2 linked regions of the Tribolium castaneum genome follow. The protein of the gene in region 2 interacts with the protein of the main gene of each other region in a pairwise test. Links are inferred from orthologs where the notes say so. Each region holds a gene or a part of one and is shown on either strand. Other genes may lie near its edges.

Evidence for each region.
Region 1: the proteins of pins (region 2) and Galphao interact in a two-hybrid assay, tested with the Drosophila melanogaster proteins (3 studies listed by BioGRID, with this or other methods). The link is inferred for Tribolium castaneum from reciprocal best matches to the Drosophila melanogaster genes pins and Galphao.

What each region holds. Positions count from the first base shown.
Region 1 is NC_087396.1:19,009,854-19,013,679, reverse strand, and holds part of Galphao (guanine nucleotide-binding protein G(o) subunit alpha), read right to left. Parts: intron 2,198-3,826; coding exon 2,044-2,197; intron 1,990-2,043; coding exon 1,802-1,989; 3' UTR 1-1,801. UniProt on the Drosophila melanogaster protein: Guanine nucleotide-binding proteins (G proteins) are involved as modulators or transducers in various transmembrane signaling systems.
Region 2 is NC_087394.1:36,920,049-36,924,519, reverse strand, and holds the start of pins (G-protein-signaling modulator 2), read left to right. Parts: upstream 1-1,366; 5' UTR 1,367-1,507; coding exon 1,508-1,552; intron 1,553-1,613; coding exon 1,614-1,846; intron 1,847-1,893; coding exon 1,894-2,172; intron 2,173-2,487; coding exon 2,488-2,727; intron 2,728-2,775; coding exon 2,776-3,040; intron 3,041-3,089; coding exon 3,090-3,269; intron 3,270-4,055; coding exon 4,056-4,471. Other genes in the region: RpL28 (large ribosomal subunit protein eL28), read left to right, coding at 1-41, 92-289; Samtor (S-adenosylmethionine sensor upstream of mTORC1), read left to right, coding at 349-1,278.

The sequences.
Region 1 (3,826 bases), on a different chromosome or scaffold from region 2:
AGAGAAACAAACATACAATGAGAGAACAACCTCAGTTATGAATGTTACATTTACTGATATTGGAAAACATGTACATCATTCACTGCATTTAACTAGCGCCGTACCTTTAATAATCTTCTTATAATTAGTCTTATTCACAACAAAGCAACAAGTCAATAGTATGCGTGTACATGTGGCTAAAACTTGGACAGTCTCATGGTTTAATTCGAATAATAATAGTAATTGTAGCGTTATGAGCGTGTCGAAGTAAGACAAAACAACCGAGGACCAATTGAAAGATATGTCTTAAATCCACGAGACGTCAAGTACAAAAATGTGTGAAAAATCGTTTGGATAATAATTAATAGGAAAGCAACTTTTTCGTCCACGTTTTGTGCATTCAAAGTAAGAAAATTGTCCGCACCCTACCTACAAGTTTAATTGTCCATTTTGGACTACTTTTTCTCTAGCTGTGTAGATGTCGCACAACATAAACCTGCATTAAAACAATTGTGGGTTACATCTTATTTTATTTTTGAAATAAATTACAAAAAAGTTATAATGCCGTAGTCACAATTAGAAAATAAACTGACTAGAGATTCAATCATGACTCAATAGGATACTACCAGATATTAAATACTACAATTTACATAACAGTTTGGTTGTATGCGCAAAATTAACATAGAATACACAACAAAATTGGCGAAACTCTAAACAAGGAACAAAGGTCGCTTAGTGCCCACTTGTCGGAGTTATGTATTTTACGTTACTTTTGATATACTGATACGACAATTACTAGTTTTGCGCTAAAATGGATGATTGTATTCAAATAACGTCTGCTTTAGTGAATTAGAGAGTGAATAATTAGATACACTTACAATTTGTTGGTTTCCTTGTAAAAAAAGCGTAAATGGGAGATACAAAATAGTCGAGAGAGGAATGTATCACTTAAAATGCATGTCATTAAATTACAGTATGATCAAAGTAAATGCACTGGCTACACTACGAAATGGTACTGAAGCTACTCCAAATCTGCTAAAGCGCCATATAGTTTTTATGTACACATTAATGTATTATATTATATTTGCATCTGTTCTTTAAAGGTCCATAATTTCCTGATTCAATTCGGACAGTAAAGTATAATAACAAAATCTAGAAAAATATGTTTTGGTATTATACTTGACGAAACTAATTACACACAAGTAGGCTTTATAGTTAGAATGTTTATTATAATTAATATTAATTACCATATTGTAGATGAACGCTACTTGAGCCAGACAGTAATAATTTGGTTCCACATTATCATTAACACATACTTAGTTTTTACAAATTTGGTAACTAAATCTATGCAATATAGCTCTTTTCATTCATTAAAATTATACAAACATAAATAACATTGAACCGTAATATATTAAAAAAAACAATAACTTAGAAGAAAAAGAAAGCAACTACAATACGTTGATAAATGCAATCTCTTCTTAATGGCACACTATCTTGTATACAAATTATTTTGTGCACAGATTAGGTCAAACAAATCGACAGAAAAATAAACTGTTTGTCAACCGATGTTATTATCAAGCACAGGAAAGCTACCCCTTGTATTGTGTCAACTCACCAACCAGGTCATCGATCAACAGAAAAGAACACATCTCACTCAACTTTGGTACAATTATAACAGCAAACGTTGCCGGGACTTCCCCTGGCCGAGAAATACCGCAACGTTTAGCAAATACACCGGCACTACCATGTCTGTTGTATTTTTTTGGTTTAACCATGTACTAAAGTCAATAATGTATGAAAAGGAATAGTAATGAGAGGTTTCTCAGTAGAGGCCGCAGTTGCGCAGATTATTAGCTATGATCACATCAGTGACTGCGTCGAATACGAACTGGATATTATGCGTGTCTGTGGCACAGGTCATATGGCAGTAGATTTCTTTTGTTGTCGATTTGTTCTTCGCTTCGAATTGTGCTTGGATGTACGCCGCTGCTTCGCCATACTCTTGCGCACCTTCAACAAAACGCGCCCTCAAAAATCATCACTCAACACAACCAAAACCCATACCTGCGTATTCGGGGAAACATATTGTTAAAGGCGACTTCCTAATTTTTTCCTCGAACAAGTCTTTCTTATTAAGGAAGAGGATTATAGACGTGTCCGTGAACCACTTGTTGTTACAGATCGAATCGAAAAGCTTCAAGCTCTCCTGCATTCGGTTCTGGAACAGAAAAAATTGATCACTGCAAAGTTCCAATGATAAAGTTAGAAATTAGGGAATAGAAACTTTCCCAATCAATAAAATGAAATATGGTATAACTCCCGTGACGTTTGTTTATACCCAGATACAATCATTTCGACTGATTATTATTAAATACGTTGACGTCATCGCGCGATGAATTAATTGCGACGAATGAAATTCAACATAAATGAGTAAAACACATTTGTCACAGAACTTAGTAACGCATTTCTTTGCGAAAATTTTATTATTGTGTGATTTCGGCGATTTGGTGGTAGAATCCACCCTCCGCATTCAATTTTTTAACTGGCTTTCAGGCTGAGAGCACTCGGTGCCACTTGACAAATCAAATTGAGCTATTTGGAGCTTGGAATTAAACGAGGAAAAAATCGCGGAATAATGTTGGAAAATTAATGCACCTACAAAAATAGGCTTCCCGGAAATTTTCCTTTGATGTAATGAAAGATTAAATTCCATTAAAATTGGTTTGACGGTTCTATTAATAACGTAACGAACAGGAAACTATTTGTTTTAAACCCACCCTTGCTATGTTAGATAACCACATTATGGAATATACTACAGAAGCGGATTAAGCGCCCCTTGTAGACTCGACGTCCCAAAACTTGAAGGAGTCACTCGTCAAAAAAATATTTATAGCGTAACAAATACACAATTATTATGCTTATTCAATTTCTTACAAAGTTTAGTAAAGTAAAGCACAAAAATTACACACAATTATTTTCAAATTATTACAATATTTTTCACATACCAAGATTCGTTTATTTAGAAAGTGAGAATTCGGAAATGATTTTATGTAGGTAATGGAATATTTGAGAGATTTTGAGTAAGTGAATCTTCAATTTCATGCGAATACCGGGGATCAAATAAATAGAGAAAACATTTCTTTTGCCGTTGCTTAGATCGTTACTATTCACAAAATTTTGTTATCTCTGCACTTTTTAGTTAATTAAAGTGTGTTCTTTTTTAAACGGAATTCCCCAAGTCAAAATTTTGGTCAAGACATTGTTTTTGTCCTTAAAAATTTCGTTAAATATTAAGGTTATGTTTTACTTTTAAAGTTTTGTTTAAATTTAGACTGTCCTTTGAACGCGTGCTTATCAAATACCTGAGGATAGATATATCAATACCATGTGTCCAATCATTAAACTCACTGACAGACGAATAAATTTTAATGAAAAAAAAGTTTATATACCGAAAAAAGTTGTTGGGTTTAAATTTTCTGTAATTAATTTGAAATCTAAATTAATCTTCAGCTTTACTTTCAAAATTAGCACAGTAATACATTTTCAGTTTCTTCATCAAATGCTGTGCAACAAGACATTCTTATTTAATTTGTCTATGATTTGTCTGCATTTTCGTCACTCTTTTTTATTAAAAATTGAAAAATGATAAAGAAATCTATAAGTATTATATATTTCGAGGATGGTCTTCATATGACTAATGCTTTCACATTCAACATTTTCTAAAATTGCTGTCGGTACCTAGTCTGTATTTTTGTGTAATACACTTTAATTTGTTTAATGGCATTTTTTTCAAAATAAAACAAAAACCGAAATTCTATTATCATTTTAATATCTTTTTTAAAATTAC
Region 2 (4,471 bases):
AGAAAGGCTTTACTGTCGTGTACAAAAAAGCCAGTAAACAGGTAATTCAAATCCATGATTTTTTGGCCCATGTTTGATTTTTTTAATTTAGAATAAACCAAGGCAATGTATCGTGAAACGCACGATGAAATCGGGCCCCAGACGCTCTTTGGCCAAGCTTGAGAGGCTTTTGAAGGCCAACAAATACCGCACTGACTTGTCCAAGGCGGCCCTTCGCAGAGCCAGTGCCGTCCTCAGGTCACAAAAGCCCCTCCCCGCCAAAAAACCCAAGGCGAAGAAACCAGAATAAGAAATTAATAAAAATTTCGTATTAAAATTTGTTTGATTTTTCGAACATAACCTTACAAAATGGCCACGTCGGAACATTTACAATCAGCGAATTTTGTTAAATCGGTGCACCAAAAATTGCGAAGTGATGCGAAAATCATGGGGGCTGGTAACGCATGGCGTAGGCATTGTGAAAATGGGGAGAATCTTGCGAAATATGCCTCTGCCATGCAAAATTTGGCTACGAATCATTGGGAGAAAACTACAAACTCTAGGGCTGTGTCAAGAGTCGAGTGGGTGCATAGTTTTTGCCTCAAATATTTTCACGAAGAAATATTCAAACAGAGACAACGTGAGGTTGAAATTGCAACGAAACTTAACCTAAAAGTGCCTGATCTTGTGTTAGGTGTTAAAAACCAATACGAGTTATTGGATGTGGGGAGTTGTTTCAACCCCTTTGCGAAATATCAGTGTTTCAGTGTCACCCCCATAGACATAGCCCCTGCCACTAGTGATGTGTTAAAGTGCGATTTTTTAAATGTGGACCTAACTTCAAATCAGTATAACCTTCAAAAAAATTCGTTTGATGTGGTTGTCTTTAGTCTTTTGCTTGAATATTTGCCTTCACCGGATCAGCGACACACTTGTTGCGAAAAAGCCTACAATTTATTAAGACCAGAAGGCATTTTACTTATTATAACCCCCGATTCTAAACATGTGGGAGCCAATGCAAAAATAATGAAATCTTGGCGTTTTATTTTAGCCAAAATGGGTTTTTCACGCATCAAATACGAAAAACTAGCCTATTTGCATTGCATGGCGTTCAGGAAAAGTATCAAGAGTGAAATCGCGCAACGTTGGGCCCTTTTACAAATTGAGAAACCTTTTTACGAGGAAATTGTTATCCCGCAAGATTTTAACAAAATTGAAACACCCACGGGTGTGGTTTGTGACAGTGGTGATAATTGTGAAGTGTCTTTGTTCGAGGAATTGCCCCAAAGTTTTGAATAAATTTTGTTTTTTTCTTTGATGGTGTTTGATTTAATATGCCCGCCTAATCCCAAACACAAATTCCCCCAGATTTGTTGAAAATCGTGACAGTTGCAGGAAGAGGAGTGTTGTGTGTTTTGACAATTGTGCGTTTTTATTGTTGTTTATTTGCGTAACAATGAAAGAATGAGCGGGTGATTCATACCTCAAGTGCTTTTAATTGCTTTAATTAATCGAATTAACGTTAAAAATGTCCCTGAGTGCTAGTGCCGAGAACCTGACTGTGGAAACACAGGTGTGTCCCTTTTCCTTATAAAAGCGCCCCAAATCGGGCAACTGATTACAATAATTTTAAGGACTATGACGGTTCGAGCAATATGTGCTTAGAGTTGGCCTTGGAGGGCGAGCGTCTGTGCAAGGCGGGCGACTGCAGGGCAGGAGTGGCTTTTTTTCAGGCCGCAATCCAGGCCGGAACTGACGACTTGCGGACGCTCAGTGCTATTTACAGTCAGCTCGGAAATGCGTATTTTTATCTAGGAGATTATGGCAAAGCCATGCAATATCACAAACATGATCTCACTTTGGCCAGGTATTGACTAATCAAACGGTTGCAATTATTGATGGTGGCTTGTTTAGGACAATGGGTGATAAACTGGGCGAGGCGAAGTCTTCGGGAAATCTGGGCAATACTCTGAAGGTGATGGGGCGGTTTGATGAAGCTGTGGTGTGTTGTAAACGACATTTGGAGCTTTCGAGAGAATTGGGCGATAGGTTGAGCGAAGGCAGGGCGTTGTATAATTTAGGAAATGTTTTTCATGCCAAGGGGAAACATATCGGGAGGGTGGGGCACAAGGATCCGGGGGATTTTTCAGATGACGTCAAAGGGTGTCTCCAAGAAGCTGTCTCTTATTATGAGTAAGTTGGTTCACTGATAAGAATTTTATCACCGTGATAAGAAGAGGCTGTGCTTCTTTACTTTACTGAGAAGAATTTAAATTTGATCAAAGCTTGTGTTAAAGTAGAAATAAAATATTAATAATTTTTCCAAACTTCAAATGAGTTGTCGTGGACAGTGTGAAAATATAATTTTCTTGTCGGAAATATATTTTGACGTTATCTTTTTAATTTCGTATTTATGAACGCATAAAATCCCGCTATAAGCACACCTCTCGTATCAATAAATAATTCCCAGAAATACGATATTTATCAGTGGTCGCTTATTATTTCAAGGGAAAACTTAACACTGATGCGTGAACTGGGCGATATAGCGGCACAAGGAAGAGCTTGTGGTAATTTGGGCAATACGTTTTATTTATTGGGTGATTTCGCGCAAGCGATACATTACCATGAAGAAAGATTATCAATAGCGAGACAATTTGGTGATAAAGCGGCCGAAAGAAGAGCACATAGTAATCTCGGAAATTCGCATATTTTTATGGGACAGTTTGAAGAAGCCGCCCATCATTACAAGTAAGCCATTAGAGAAAAATAGCTAGAAGTGAAATTGTTTTTTTTTAGACGAACTCTAGCCCTGGCCCAGGAATTAGGCGACCATGCAGTCGAAGCTCAGGCTTGTTATAGTTTAGGCAACACTTATACGCTATTGAGAGATTACGAAACTGCCATTGAATATCATTTGAGACATCTTTTGATAGCGCAAAATTTGGCCGATCGCATTGGGGAAGGTAGGGCGTGTTGGTCATTGGGTAATGCAAACGCATCGTTGGGTAATCACGAAAAGGCGCTACAATTTGCCAAAAAACACCTCGAAATTAGTAAAGAGGTAAAACGATTTGTTATTGTTTTTTTGTGTAAAATAAAGTTGGGTTTAGTTGGGCGATCCAATGGGTGAAGCTACAGCGAAAATGAACATTGCTGACTTACGAAAAATCCTCAATTTGCCTGATAGTCCCGAATCGTGTGACAGTGATTCCCCGAAAGAGAATGACGTCACTCACCAGAGGATACAAAGGGTGAGACGTGAAAGCATGGAACAGCTTAGCCTGATTAAGGTAGTGGTTTATTTTTTTTTATTTTTGCGCTGGTTCTTTTGACGTAAGTAACTTTTTGTTGTGTGGCGTAATGTTTAATCGATTAACGTACGAGCAGTTATTTTTATCCGTTGTTTGGTTTTTGTGTCGCTAATTGCATTATGTTTGCAAAGAAAATTAAACAATAACAACGGAAATTTGCATTAAAATTATTACGTTGCTTATTCTAAACTACAAACGGATTTAAATAAAATATACTGAATTATTTCTTATAACTAAAATTTAAAATTAAAAATATAATTACAAACAAAAAATTAATCGAATTCTTGTTCCAAAACCACTTGAGATCCTACACTAATTTATAAACAGTCCGTATAATAACATTAGTATTTTTACTTTTGTTTTGAGTAAGTTTCGAATATGACTTATTTCAGTATTTAATTAATACTTTTAGAAAAAAACAGCTCAAATAAATCAGTTTGTGATCATAATATTTCAGTTTATTTCCACTCATAGCTTATGCAACAAGTGCTAAACACACGTTTAATTGCATTCTGTGTCACTACGGAAATTTTTGTTTGCTGCATGAAATTTGCTTGCTTCATAATCTCTAAATATTGTCATTGAAAAATCTGGCAATTTTCCAAGCTTCTTTCGTACTAAATAACAGACAAAATAAACAGCGATCTATTGCGCTTCACGATGATGCAAAATAGATCAATTAGTTGTGAACGCGTCGGTGTTTTGCATCGTCCAACAGAAATTTATAAATTAAACAACACTTGACGTCAAAACACCGACTTCCAGTTGACACCCGACGGCAAACAACGTCCCGGCTTCACACTTCCACCAATGAAATCAGCCCCGTCACCAACTAAAAACGAAGATGACGATTCCTTCTTCGATTTGTTATCCCGCTTCCAATCGAAACGTATGGACGACCAACGTTGTTCCCTCACTGTTGACAACAACAAGGAAAACACCAACGTGGTGAATCTGCCTCGAAATGAAGGTCCCGATGATCTGATTGACATGATTGCCGGAATGCAAAGCAAAAGAATGGATGAGCAAAGAGTTGCACTACCACATCTTCCAGGATTGCAATCATCGTCGTTACAAAAGTTGGCCGAATCGAGGAATAATAGTGTTCCCGATGATAATTTCCTGGATCAGTTGGTGCGTTGTCAAGGTTCAAGACTTGAGGATCAGAGATCGCCGCTCCC